Oreochromis niloticus: one gene and its partner. The protein of the gene in region 1 interacts with the protein of each later gene in a pairwise test. Links are inferred from orthologs where the notes say so. Each region holds a gene or a part of one and is shown on either strand. Other genes may lie near its edges.

Region 1 (7,188 bases):
TGCAATATAGCCTGAGCAGACCAACATAGCCTGAGTTAGCAATCCAAGATGGTAGCACTGCATGTAAACAGTACTAACACTGTAAACTTCTCATCTGTGCTGCTACTGTTTTGTGTTTTTTGGTGCCACTCCCGAGTTACAAGGTATGGGAATGCCGTGGGGTATGACTTTTCCAGCGTGTTCCAAAAGTATGTTCTATCTCTTATTCCTAACCTTTTCCTTGACCTAAATGCAAACGTATTTGAGGTCAAGGAAAACAGCCGTGCACTGAGAATCAGAACAATGTCACACTGCTCTCCTTAACATAAACCCAGATGTTCACTGTTTTGAAACTCTTATGTGCAGAACATGAACTACAAAATCCATTTGTTTTATGGAGGTCATATAAACAAGAACATTTCAAAGGCTGGAATAGAAATTTGGGGCTGTAAACTATCTACAGCAGATGAACAGTATCTGACAGTCATGTCCTTAAGAAATAGGATAGACTCCTGCAAAGACCTGAAACAGGACCTGAGCGATGACCCTTCAGCTGATCCATCACTGAAGCCTCATCAGAAATGGTCTGGGTTAAAGGGTGGCTGTTAAAGGTATGCAACATTACACAATAACCAGACTGCAAAAATCAGTGGCAATAGGTCTGATGGACTGATCAATTTAAACAGTACCATTAAATTTTGATCTTTAAATCATCTAATTGGCAACAGCCTCATTTTTCAGCATGACAATGATCCCAAACACACTGTCAATGCAGTAAAAGCATAGTTAGATAGAAAAACACGCAGTGGTAAATGGTACATGGACTGATTCTTATATCAAAGCACTGTATACAACACACACTGGAACACCATCATGGATTGGCCTCCCTGAGGGCGCGACTCAGCAGATCTTCGTGACAAAAATAAAAAAGCAGAAATATCCAAAGAAGAAGATAAATCATTGCACTCATTTCCCCAACAAAAACAGAGAAATGGTGGTTCAAGACTTTTGCACAAGACTACTTAGAAGACTAAATGTGATATGCCGTGCAATAAGGAACCACAGAGACTATGTCGACCTCACAGTCATGTCTTTACTGAAATGGAGCATACCCAACCAACGCTGACACCGCTCTCCACAGACTGTTGCCCCCTGGTGGACCAAACCCCGCCCACCCCCTGTTACATCATAACATTCCTCCCCCGTTAAACTGAAACTACTCTGTAGTTTTAAGTACTACATAAAATACCCATAAAAAACGTAACCTTAATTAAAATGTAAAAAACTCGCAACCCTGTGGCTGGCGACTCCTGTGAGCCACTATTCTCTGTATGCGGCGTCACCACTGGTGTAACTTGCACCTCCATGTTTCTTTCATCAGTGTCCATCGTCTCAGCATGGATGATTGGTGCAGCTTTTGGGGGCTCGCCCTGGTGGCCCTCGGGTATTCCTGCTGGTAGGTAAGGCTCCAGGCGGGCAAACAGCCACCACCTTCCCATTGCCCGGCATCACCGTGCAGGAAACAGGCCCCTTCATTTCCTGTATAAGTCCTGGTATCCATTTGGGTCCTGCGGCATAGTTTCTGGTATACACTGTGTCTCCAATAACCAATGTGCCCTCCTTGGCATGTCTATCATGATGCAGTCTTTGGCTATCTTGTTTTGATGTCACTTTCTATTTCAAGTCGGGGTGTATGAGATCAAGAGTACAACTCAACTTCCGGCCCATCATCAACTCAGCGGGGGACGCTGTTGTGATTCGGTAACTAAACAAAGCCCTGTTTAACTTGGTTGCCAGTGTGTCTCCGGTACTCTTTTTCATGAGTTCTTTGAAAGTTTGCACCGCTCTTTCTGCTAACCCATTAGATGCTGGGTGATATGGAGCAGAGCTGACATGTGTGATGCTGTTCTTTGCCATGAACTCTTTAGTTTGTGCACTTACAAAACACTGGGCATTGTCCGAGACCACCGTGAGCGCTGAAACGGTTTCTCAAGCAGTCTATAGTGGCAGCTGATGCCACTGGACACACATATAACCATTTGGAGTGGGCGTCCACTATTACTAGGAACATTTTACCCAAAAATGGGCCAGCATAATCGATAATAAATAAAACTACTTCAAGAGAACCATCAAATCCACTTTTTATCAAATTAAATATTCTCAAATTTAAAGATTTGGTTGACCTCAGAACTGCGTAAACAATTTACAAAGCAGCAAATAAATCTTTGCCCCACAACATTCAGAACTTGTTCCAAATAAGACCAAATACTCCTGACCTGAGAGGAATCCTTATGTTCAGCAAGCCAGTAGTAAGGACAAATGTAAAATATCACAGCATTACAGTCAGAGGAGTTAGTGTGTGGAACACCTGTACAGGTGAGATCAAGACAAGTACATCAATACAAAAACTCACACGATTGTTCAAAAATAATAAATTGCATGAATATAGGAAATCTTCCTCTCAGTGACTGAGTCGTCTCATTGTGTCCTCATTTTTTATAGATCAAGGCCTGAGTAACCCAAGCTTAAGTGTTCATTAAGGTGTTTGTCACATAGATATAAAATAAGCTCAGCGATTAAGGGGTGTTATAGACAGGGAGATTAGTTTATGTAAAAATGTAGTTTGTCGTTGTTCTGGTTTACATGCTGAAAACGGTTTTATTTCTGTATGTTCAATGTGTTAGATTTGTACATAGTTAAACATATCTGATCAAATAATGTTGAGTCCTGGATATGGATTTGTAAGCAATGAAATTTGAAATAAGGGGGTAGGAACAAGAAAAGTGTAAACTTCATCCTACTCCTTTTCAAGCACACACATTCTGTAGACATAGGTATATACATGAAAACTTGATGATTTTTAAGTTTTGTTTTTTTCTGTTGTTATTTCAATTATATTTGCATGTTCGAAATAAAATTATATCTATCTATCTATCTATCTATCTATCTATCTATCTATCTATCTATCTATCTATCTATCTGTATTCTCAATGGCTTCTCCGGCCACTCCCAGGGGTGTAGCGGTTCCTCTTGAGGCCTGAGTCTATGTTCTTGACACGTACTGCAGTACTTCACCTTGTCTTCAATGTCAGTCTCCATATGCAGCCACCACATGTAGCTTCTGGCCAGGCCCTTCATGCGTCTCATTCCCGGGTGTGACTGTGCCAACAGGGCACAGCTACATCAGTCACACCCGCATGACCATCTGGCATGCGGTGAGCTAGCACTGCTCACACTCTGTAGGTGGACGCATCGCAAGATAGAATTAAATCTTTCTTCTCATCATAGTGTGCCAATACACTACTTGACTGCACCAGTTCCAGTTTTTGACTTGCAGAAAACTTTGGTGCCCAACACCACTGTTCCTCCTTTCTCAGAAGCTTGTGCAGTGGGCCCACCAGCGTGGACAAGTTTGGCAAGAACAGAAGTTCAACAACTCCAAATAAGCTTTGAGCTCTGTCACTGATTTTGGGGGTACCGCCTCCAGCACTGGATGTAAACTTGTCTTATCCACCCGGTGTGCTAAAAATGTCACTTCCTTTTCTGTGAACTGACATTTAAACTCAGGGCCGCCTCCTCTAATTGCCGCAGGACTTCATCCAGTCTCTGAAGATGTTCTTGGTCCTTTTTTGGACCATTTACTCCATTCACTGAGTAGTAAAGTGGAATTTTTAGATAAAAGACAACAACAACAACAATTGTTTAAAAAAAAAAAAAACAGAAAACAAACAAACGAGAAAAACAGTAAATTTAATTGGAAAATATTTTATTCACTGATGCAGATTTTTCAAAGCTAAGCCTGACTTGAATTACTGGAAGAATGACGTGAGTCTGTGACGTGAAATTACTTTCATTACTTAACAATTTTGATTTAATGTGATTGTTTTCTCTGACTCTTTTTCCTTTTTGTGTGATTTGTATTTATTTATATTTTTCATACTTGGATGTTTTTCGTTGTTACCGTGCGTGCCTTCAGTTGTTAGATGGTTACTTTTGTTTGTTTGTATACGTGTTCAATAAAGCTATTTGTTTGAAAAAAAAGTAATTAGATATTTAATATGCGCACAGAAAAAGTGAAACAAAATATTATTTGAAAACATACGCGACGTAATAAAGGGGGGTGTCTGCGACATATTTTCGCAGCTTGTTGGTGATTTTGAACACAACCCAGTTGGTTGCCACTTCACCTCTACGTCATTTCCGTCACAGAACCGTCTTCGAGGTCTTTTCAAGATGGCGTCAACGCAGTTAACGGATGAGGAGCTTTTTTTGGAATTAAAACGTTTTGGTTTCACTCCAGGGCCCGTTACTGAAAACACTCGTCCGGTGTACTTGAAGAAACTCAAGAAGCTTCGCGAAGAGCAACAGCAGCGAGGACTAAGACCTGGTAAAACCCGTACTATCGGTGCCATTAACAGTACCACTGGCGGCGGTAGCACAGTGGCATCTAGGCCAGTCAGCCATGACGTCACGCACCTGAATACAAGCAGGAGACCGGGCCGGAAGTCCTCCCTCCTCGGCTTCAGCTCCGACGAGTCTGACGCTGAAACCCCACTAAAGAGGAAAGGCCTCGGTCACAGTGGCAGAGCGAACAGAAGCTCCAGTTCTCAACAGCAGCCTAAGATTAGGCCTGCCTCAACGCCGAGTGTGGCTATCAAGAGTCGGTACGACCACAGTGCGACACCAAGCAGCAATTTTTCCCTGGGTCAGAACGGAGAGAGACGTGTCTCACTGGGCTGGGGAGTCGGTGACAGATCCAGGTCTGATGCGGGACTACGGCGTTACGACGACTCGGGGGACGAGGACAATTATGAGGAGGATATGGAAAAGAAGTCCCGCTCTTTAAATGGTCGCGGGGCGTCTCGCCTGAATGCTAGCAAATTAGCTGGAGATTACTCAGACTCGGACGAGGAGGAAGTTAGTGGGCTTGGCGTCGGCGACCCAGAATGCGACAGATTGGAGCCTCGACGAAACCACCCCAGTGTGGCGTTATCTTCCGACGTTACTGATCGAGGGTCTGCGACCGATGGGCAGAACACAGAAGCTACGCCTCGTCGTTTTCTAAACATGGGGGGGAGTCAAGGTGAGGATGAAGAGGAAGATGATTTAAAGAGAAGGGACTTTAGCCGCTTGGGAGACTCGCGGAGTCACACACTTCCAAGGAAACCCATCTACGGGTCACTTACCGAAAACCACAAAGGATATACCGGTAAAAACAGTCCGGCCACGGGGGAGGATGGAGCATCCAGAAGCAACAGCACCGAGCTGAGACCGCGCTTCTCCACCTACAGCGGTCTGTCGCAGACGTACAGGCGCAACCACTCTAATCACACCCCTGCTCCCAACCATTCCTGCGGCCACGCAGCGCTCAAGAGAAACGTGTCTGCTCCCGAAGATGAGCTTCTCCAGCAGTTCAAAAGGGAAGAGCTAGCTTCCTCAGGTAGTTTTAGCGCTCACTACCTGTCCATGTTCCTGCTCACAGCGGCGTGCCTCTTCTTTGTGCTGCTGGGGCTCATGTACCTCAGGATGAGGGGTTCAGGAGCCTTGGAGGTGGATAACGTCAGTAAGTATCTGGGCGAACTGCCTATTTGGTTTCCGTGGAGTGTTAAAGTTGTGGCAGTTTAGGGACTGTAATGCATGTAATTGTTTTATTGCCTGGTAATGTATAGAAGTGTTTATTCTTTGTGTATTTTGAGTGGATGTTCCTGATGAACAAACACCAAAGTTGGAGAGATTCCCAAATACAAACAGATCCAAAGATGAGCATTTTTAGACTGGAAGGAATCCGTACAGTCAGTCTGCCCAAGCACAGAACAAGCAGCAGTCGGAAGGAGACGGTGCTCCAAATTCACTTCCACCTATTTCTGAGGAGTTGTTTTTTTGTGCCCCTACAGATAAAAGGATTATGTGACTATCAAAAGAATCATGTTACACTTAAAATGAGGCAGAATGTGCAAAAGCTAAGAATGCACACACTAACAGTTTTATATTTAACAGAAAAAGTAATTTATCGATGTTTTTCTCAATCCATGTACTTTGGAAACTTCTTTGAGAATTGTCCTGACTGTCTGTCTCGTCTTCATTTTCAGTTAATAGCCCTCCCCCGGAGTTTGACACGCCTAATGTAAGTAAATACTTTCTTCAGGTTCTCCCTACTCTTTAAGTTAAGAGGTTTTCAAATGTACAGCACAGAAAATGTGATTACATTAACAGTGTGTACCATGTCAGTAACTTACAATGCTTCATTCTAAAGCTGATTTATTTATTTTTTTTGGTATATTTGTCACACGCTTCAGATCATCAACTAAATTGTGACATTAGATATAAGATAATCCAAGTAAATACAATATGATAAATGAGGATTTGATCTGAAAACGGGTATACAGGTCTAATGGGCCGTATGTTGAAAAGTAATTGCCTCCTTGTTTAATCATTAATTAACTACAATTTAAAGAAACATAAGAACAAAGTCTCTGACATCCATCAGTCTGAAAAGGGTTACAAAGCCAGGCTTTGGGAGCAAACTGAGGTGAAAGCCATTATCCACAACTGAAGAAAACTTGAACCAGTGATGAAACTTCCCAGGAGTGGACGGCCTACCGAGAGAAACCGAGAGTTATCAGATAGTCATCCAGAAGGTCACAAAAAAGGCTCTCAAGAACTGCTGGTCTCACTTGTCTCAGTTCAGGAAAGTGTTTATGATTCAGCAATAATTCAGTTTTATTCGTCTCGCACCAATCACAAGAGCAGTCCTCCGTATTGTAAGGTAGAAACTCTACCGTATACAGAGACAACCCCAACAACACCCTGTGACCAAGCACACAGTGGAAAGTAAAAACACCCTTTTAACAGGAAGAAACCTCTGGCAGAACCTGGGGAGGGGCAGCCACCTGCCACGACCAGGTGAGGGTGATGGGAGAAAGACAGGCTGTGGAAAAGAGCAAGCGATGATAGATAAATGATTACATACAGAGAGGTGTGTAAGCACAGTGAGCCACCAAGAAACACTCAGTGCATCATGGGAAGCCCACAGTAACCTAGGCCTATTGCACAGTAACTAAGGGAGGGTTCAGGGTCACCGGATCCATCCCTGACCAGATGCTTTACCAAAAGGGGAAGTTTGAAGTTTGAAGCCTAATCTTAAAGGTAGCGAGGACGTCTGTCCAAACTGGGAGCTGGTTCAGTGGAGGGGGCCCTGAAAGCTGAAGG
Region 2 (7,915 bases), on another chromosome or scaffold:
TGCTGTGTTCACATAAACATTAAATGTTTTTGTACCACTGACCGTTTTACTGAAATACTAAAGCGCTGTAAGAAACTCTGTTTTCATTTTATTTATTATATATTTAATTTACATTTTTAAATTCTTCTGGATATTTTTAAACATGTTAAAAAAAGAAAGAAAGAAAGAAAGAACCAGATTAAAACATTGCACGCATGTGTGTATGTTGCAACTGCCAGTATGGCTGATTATGTGTCTGCATGTTTGAACATGTACACTTATCTTCAATCTGTGGCTTTTATTTGAACTGTGAAGCACTTTGTAAATCTGTTTTTTGAAAAGTGCTATATATAAATAAAATTATTGGAATTAAAGTATTATATATATTATTTATCAACTCTGATTTATAGTTGATAAAATTTATACCTTGTGATCTCATCAATGAAGTCCTGCCCAGGTACAACCGTTAGTCATTTCCTTTGATTCCCAGACAGGTAAAAGCATCCCTTTTTTCCCCCCACAGGAAACAAGAATTACTGCATTACTGTTTGTGTTTGTCTTTCCCATCTTGTAAATGTCGTCCTGTCTAAATAATCTTCGTGTTTATTTTGACCTCTACAATTAGAACTGCTAGACTAAACTTCTATATTGGACACTGTGATACTCACTAGGCTGCCCGGGGCAGCTGAGTGCTCTCTCCAGCTCTTCCATTGCCCCCTTTTTCTTTTTCAGTTTCTTCACTAGAGAGTCTACGGCCTTTTCCGCCCACTTCTCCTCCTCGTCCCCTTGTTTCCAGCCGAGCAGGCGCTTCACTGCCGGGCTGGTGAAGGAGAATAAGGATGTAATGGAGGTAGAGGAGTTCATTATGAGATGGATAAATGGGTGGCAAGACGAGCTGATGGGTCCTGTTAAAGGGATAAAAGTTCCCTTGTGGATAAGAGTGAAGATGCAAATAATGAGCAGCCAGAAGAGGAAACAGAAGAGGTGAGGATGAAAGACGTGGTGTGATGAGTCTGTGTAAACAGGCGCCGTTTTTTCTTTTTCTTTTTTGTATTCCACTGTTACTTCCGAGCGGCTCTAGTAGAGGCGCTGGACTCCTGCCAGTGCAGCGCAAACCCCCTAAATCCCCTCTCTGTGTTGGGATCCGGCAGCTCTGGAGTCGAAGCCTCCAGCAGGGAAGGTTATTCTTTACACAGCCAGAAATCCAGGTCAAGTTTCAATCATCTGGCAGGAGAAGCAAGAGATTGTATTAACAGATAATTCAGCCAAAAAACAAAAAAAAAGAAAAGAAAAAAGTTTGGAGGTTAGGAAGAAAAAAAAAAGAGAGACCTCGGGTTTTATTGGAAAAGCAGAATTAAGACAGAGTCACTAAGGTGATAAGCTGGTGCGGAGTGATGAGAACAGCCAGAGAAAACACCAAACCAAAAACTACTCATATTTAATGAAGTGGGCATCAAAGGTGGATTTTCATGATATGGAGGGCCATATCAGCAGGGCGCTGTTACAGAAAGCACGCCCGCATGAAAGTGATCTCCCCACATGCTGAACAGCAGTGTTATTATTCTCTATGGAGAAAATGAAACACTTCACAAAACTGCTGCAGAAAGCTCAGGCCAAGATGGCCAAGCTCATTTCTAGATTCACCAACAATGAGGAATGTCCTTTCTGGCCTCTGTTTCTATGATCATGCCACTGACGCCCAGGAGCCATACTGTCTGGCCAGAACACATCACAGGGCAGGAGGGGGAGAGGGAGAAAGGGAGGGCGACAGACAGAGAGCTCTCTCCCTCTGTTTGCCTCTCACTGTCCATCTAAATCTACTGAACATTATATATTATTATATGAATGCCAAGAATAAGGTGTAGGCAAAAAAAGTATCAGATTAAAGTTCTATTATTTAGGTAGGGTTCGTGGGTTCGGCAGCATCCTTGTACGCAAAGAAATTCCCAGATATTCATAAAAATAAACACGTAATTTTATTAGTCTCCTGTTTGTGCGTCTTTCTGTAGCATCATGCCCGACCTTTTGGGTGAAACGCATAGTTTTACATCTTGTACTATCAGCTCTTTGCAAATCATCCTTGCATGCCAGAACACTTTTCCACATGTTTGTGCGCATCTGATGCCGAAAGGGGAAAAAAATATGAATCTTTTGGCAGACTGAGTTTATAAAAGTGAACTGGAAGCTCAGCTTCCCCCCCTTTCCTGTAAAAGAAACAGAACCACTTTAGACTTTCTTCTGAATTTCTTTTTTTTTTTTTTTTTTTTTTTGTGTCAAACTAAACACAGGTGATGAGTTATGCGGATCTGTATGTTCACTTTTTCTTTGCCCTCATGTGCTCATGGCCAGCGCCGGTTTCCCGCAGACAGACACACAGACAGCTGGGGTTTACAATGACAGCAAAAAGCGCACAGGGCTCAATGCGGCATCAGTCCACCGCTGCTGCTGCTTTTATGAAGCCTGGCGTCACTCAGTCTGCAGGCTCAGATAGGCTAATTACCTAATGCTTTATCACCAGGACACCCCTTCCCAAAAAAAGTAAACACGCCAGCTTCCTTTTTACTACAACTCAACTGCGTGTCATTCTGCAGCTACAAAATCCAGGCTCGGACCTAACCTCCACACCTTCACTGCAAATATGCGATTAGGAGCAATGACATTGAAGTCGCTCGGCTCATTCTTGTGTGATGAAGGCATGCTACAACAGAGAAAAGCTCCAGCAAATCAAACACGTGTAGGAGCAAAGAAAACTGCAGTTATTATTTTTAAATACGTCTTGAATAATTAATTCAGTTCAGCTTTGCAACTTTATACTAACCTCAGCATGTAGTAGATGACAAATCTGAACAAATGAAACCCCCCTTAAAGTTTGCCGACAGTGCAAGAGGGTAACATTTAATTTTGATACTATTTCTCTCTTAACAGGAATTCAAATTCGCGTGACATAAAAAACAAAACAAATATACATTTAAAATATTTAAAGGAAAAACGAGCCAGTTAGTTTATTTTCTCACCTCTGTAACAAGTGCAGTGCAGACAGCCGTGTGAGTGTGCGACGCTTTCCTGTTTGTAGTAAGTCAGGCCAGCACACTGACGCTGCGAAGGTGTGTGCCTGTTTGTATGTGTGTGTGATTGAGTCTGTGAGCATGTGTAGAAGGGTCAAGTTGGCCTCAATAACACTTTGCGCCCTGCTGGTGATTTCTAAATAAAAGCATCGCCAACTCAATTTGTAGACGCCAGTTTATAAACGAATATAGCCACAGGCTCCATTTGACAAGAGCCAGATTAAAAAAATGAAAGAAAAAGTTCCTATATGTTTATACATTTTTGTCTATCTTCAATCAATATTTGAAAATTCTACTTTTAAAAGTGAAGTACAAAACTACTTTTGTCCGCTGTGGAAGAGAAACAGACATAACTAATGATTAAATGCAGAGTGGTGCGGTAAGCACCAAGAGAGTGGAAAAGGTGAGTGAAAAACAAACAAACACTTGGCATTACAAATCATTAACTTTAATAAAATAACATCATTATTTTTTATTTAAATCTTCTAAGTGAAATTATTATCAGTAATTTCTACAGGTAAGTGTTAGAAATGAGGTTGTAAAGTAAGTCTACATGAAAATATATAAAATGTATGTTTTGTTTTGTTTGCTTTTGGAGAGGACGTCGCACACAGCGTGAACTTCCGCGTTTATTATGAAGGCTCAGTCTTAGTTATTTCCGGCGTTGTTCGTTGCGGTCGCTTTGACGCAGGTTTGTGAAGCTTGGAGGCTCCACTCCTCCAGCAGCCCCAGCCGAGCGCCACACAGCCTCGGCGGCGTCAGCCTGGCTGGAACCGCAGCGCCTGCATGCTAGATCCCTCCGCCTCCCCCCCTCCTGGAACTTTCTCAGGATTTCAGGGATTTCAGATTCAGCGCTCGCGGCAGCACGCACGAGCGTTTGTGTTCGAGCACCTGAGCTCCCAATCACCTAATCACGATATAAAGGAAAAGAAAAATAGAGAAATAAAAATCCCCAAATCACACCTGTTCTAGTATTGCAGAAGATTTCACTGATTTTACCTGATAAAACTCTAATAATTATTGTACTTAAAGTGTTTATCAGCGAGTTTTTGTTACACCTATCTCTCTGCCTGCGAGGGTCTGTTTGCTGTCATCTTCTTCCTTTACAGCAACGAGCACCTGCTGGGCGCAGGCCAGGCTATAGGTGCAATGTACCGAGTATAAGACTAAATCTGCTTCTTTATATTAACTTTTAAGTTATATATAAAGTCCAGCTCGGGCACGATCAAATCTGCTATCATATCCAACTACCTCACAGTGTTACTTTCCTGTGGTCGCGCGCACGTGCACGCACATGCTGCACCTGTAGGCTTAAAAAAGAAAAGATAAAGTAAAACATCTTCCGGTTTAGTACTCAGTCTTCATGTATGATTCCACACATGCAGTGAAATCATCTTTATTTATATTTTTTTTTTCTTCGTTTTAAAAATCCAAGTTTGTTTTGTTATCCATTGTTGGGAGCGCTGAGGTCTTTCTCACTGCGGATGGATACGATCCTTTATTGGGAGTGCCGTGACTGGTCCAGCTAATGACGCAAGCCCGGCTGGCGACAGTGAGTCTACAAGTTTGACATTTTCAGAGTTTACAGCAACTGCTGCGGGATGTAACAACACTCCCAACGCGAAGTGAAACTACTTTGAATATCCCATAAAAAACAATATGATTTTTTTTTTCATCTTAACCACCAGGTAAACCATCAGAACACACCACTAAGTCAATCCGCTGGTGTGCGCCTAAAAAGGTGGGGGACTATGAAGGTCCAAGGTTTGGTTCGGGGACCGCCAAAGAAGCCGCGGGAAGGTCTCAGAGCAGGACCGAGAGCAGTGGGCTGTGTGTTTGATCACCGTTTTAGATGTGAGCACAACAGCCTGTAAGGGTTTTAATCTCCCATTAGAAACACAGGGCCTATTTTGTGGAGCATTACATTTGGTTACTTGAAATGAAATTTCATTTCATTTCATGGACTAATTGGTGCCAATCGAACGCTTTTGCAAATCTTCAAATATGGCACCCTAATTTTCTGCAGTGCCAAATCTGGAGGCAGGAAACTAGAAATGTGCAGCTTGCGATTCCCCACTTCTGTGTCTTGTGTGGTAGGGCAGACACAGCCAGACGAGCGGGGCACAAACAGGATGCTCTCCCTGGGGCTCCGGGAGGCCCTCAGAGACATCCGCATGAGCGCAAAGCCGAGACCTCAGGCTTGCATAAGAAAACAGCACTATTAAAGTTCATTTACTCAGACCACAAAAACGCTTGCTGGACTCCTTCCAAGATGTCCACACTAGGCCTGGGAGACAAACAAAAGGATGAATATTGAGATAAATACCGCAGTCCAGGGTTTCCTACTTTCTTTCATGTTGAGGAAAGGCCAGATCACACTGCCTACTGTGCTGAACATTTCCTAGAGCTGACCCCAGATAACTTAATCAGTTAAACATGATTTATACCAAATTAAACGTTTAGTGGAGTTAGAGCCTGCAGACATCTAGTAATAATATTTCAAAGGTACTTTCCTGACCCTGGTACTCTCTGTAAGAAGCCTGAAAGGTGCCTCACTGCATGTTTGGGAACCATCAGTCACAATTAGTCAAGTTTTAAGACCCATTAAAGATCCTCGGCCCTACTATAAGAAACTCCTTTAGCTGCAGTATTAACAAAGAGATGTCATGTCTTTACAAAAAATCTGTAGCTGCAGTAAGCATTGTTACAAACACAGCAGAGCAGTTTAAGCTTCTCTGTATTGTATGAAACCATGTCATCACTGATGGTTCTTTAATCTCTACGTCAGAGGTGTCAAACACGAGGCCTGGGGGCCAGAATCGGTCTGGCAAAGAACTCAATTTGGCCCACTGCTCAAATTTGGAAAATATAAAATGTGAAGGAGGGCATTGATTTTGGATTTGAATTCATAGGTTTCATAGCATTTCCTGCTGATAAAGAGCTGGACCACTGCCATTGGACTTCTTTTTATATTAAATGGGATTAACTGTGAAGTTAAACATCTTTACACTGACAGAAAGGGCAGTTTCGTTGCTACGGCCAAAGATCAAAGTGGGCTGTATGTGGCCGACCGTGTAAAATGAGTTTGTTTTCTGCACATTTCTATCAATTTGTCTCTCTTTCTGCTCAGGATAAATCCTGCCTATCACTCGGTATGAGCTGGAATAGGCTTCAGCCCAACTGCAACTAAGGTGAGACAAGCAGTTAAAGGATTGGATTAATGGATGTTTTTCTTCCTATTCACCAATCTGATTACATACTGTAAAGCGTGTAGTTGTTTTCATACTGTCAGTCATTCATTGATTCTATTTGACAGCAGTGCAAAAAACCCCAAAAAACTCAAAATCAATCAAATGCTCATATTTTTTTGAATTAACAACAGTTGTCAGTTACATTTCTGTAGCTCAACCTATTGCTGCAGCTTCAGTTACTAAGTTAATAACAATTATCGAGTCATAAATCACTGACTTTTTTATTATTCTTGTTCATGTCATTAAGCCCATCAACCCTACAAAATAAAATCACTCCCTCACATCAGTAGGTCCTCCACATTACACCACTAAAAGTCCTTCTCACGGCTGACTGGGCACAACATGATGTAACTTAGTTCATGGACGAACCACAGAGATGTTCTGTAACCCGTGGCAACAGAATTTTTTAACATAAGCCATAACAAACGGTAATCACATAAAAAAAAGGCAGGATCATGAGGAAACCAAAACTGTGTCATTACTTCCATCCAGTGATGCCTGGAAAGGAGAAGTATTGATACACCGTGCTTTGCTTCTGATTACAGTGAATGATGGACACAGCTGTAATGCTCCCCCCCAAACCACCCAAAGGCTCGGTGGCCGTATCATAGGCCGTCTCTATGATACAAGGGCTCGTCTGATTGGCTAATCAGTCTTATGCGATGACTGCAGTTTCCAGGCTCCGGTGATGTAGCGCAGGCGAATGAAAACCAGGTCTCGTCCCATCTGCAGCCAGCTCCAAAACGGTACCAGCTTGGACCCTGTTAGAACAAACCCAGAGGCGCTTCAGCTTCAAGTCGTGCTTTCATAAGAAAAATACTGGAAATATGCCTGACAGTGCAATAAAAAGGAAGACTTTATTGCAGTGGTGCTAGGCTGGCTTATATGAAGCTCACACACAAAGATCAACTTCTACAAATTATTACAAAAGGTCTAAAAATAAATGCAATCAACCACAAACAGACTTCCAAACACACCCTACAGAGATATTTATAGCCCTGCAGATAGGTGGCATGGTGGGAGGAGACACGTCCACATATTTCATGGAAAGAAAAAAAAAAAAAGTCGTACCTTCTATTTCAGTCCAGTTGACCGCCACCTCGGCTATGGGGATTTTAAAACACTGGGCAATGTACAGGAGCTCCACATCAAAAGCCCTGTGAGAAGAAAGTGGATTTAAAGTTCCTGTTTTACTGCAGGTTAAAACCTAAAACTCCACTGTGACTCCATCACCTGTGCTAGGTATAAATCCTCAGGACTTCTTAGTTATTTAGCATTAATTAGTGTGATGCTCACAACTGATTTGGACACAGAAGACTGTTTAAATTTCATCAAAAATTCACTTCTTGGAGTTTTCACCAGTTAATTATCAGAAAACAGATGAAACATCCTTGTGACCAGTGTTTTTTTCTGTTACTTTGTATCATGGACAGTTTGCTGCTCACCTAACGGCCACTCAGGAGGGATCCTATCCAGATGCCTGAAGCACCTTAACTGTCTGTTTTTGATTTGAAGGAGAAGCAGATATATTCTGAATCTATTTTAAATTTCTAATGGAGAGCCCTGCCACCCTTTGCTGCAAGCTCATTTCTGTCACTTGTATCTGCACTCTCCTTCTTT

What was found.
Region 2: the proteins of lemd3 (region 1) and smad9 interact in binary tests that used the Homo sapiens proteins (3 or more experiments, as listed by UniProt). The link is inferred for Oreochromis niloticus from reciprocal best matches to the Homo sapiens genes LEMD3 and SMAD9.

Annotation. Positions count from the first base shown.
Region 1 is NC_031981.2:544,528-551,715, forward strand, and holds the start of lemd3 (inner nuclear membrane protein Man1), read left to right. Parts: upstream 1-4,138; 5' UTR 4,139-4,212; coding exon 4,213-5,542; intron 5,543-6,068; coding exon 6,069-6,103; intron 6,104-7,188.
Region 2 is NC_031975.2:15,859,863-15,867,777, reverse strand, and holds the start of smad9 (mothers against decapentaplegic homolog 9), read right to left. Parts: upstream 3,146-7,915; 5' UTR 2,994-3,145; intron 1,204-2,993; 5' UTR 844-1,203; coding exon 648-843; intron 1-647. Other genes in the region: alg5 (dolichyl-phosphate beta-glucosyltransferase), read right to left, coding at 6,941-7,056, 7,367-7,452. UniProt on the Homo sapiens protein: Transcriptional modulator activated by BMP (bone morphogenetic proteins) type 1 receptor kinase. SMAD9 is a receptor-regulated SMAD (R-SMAD).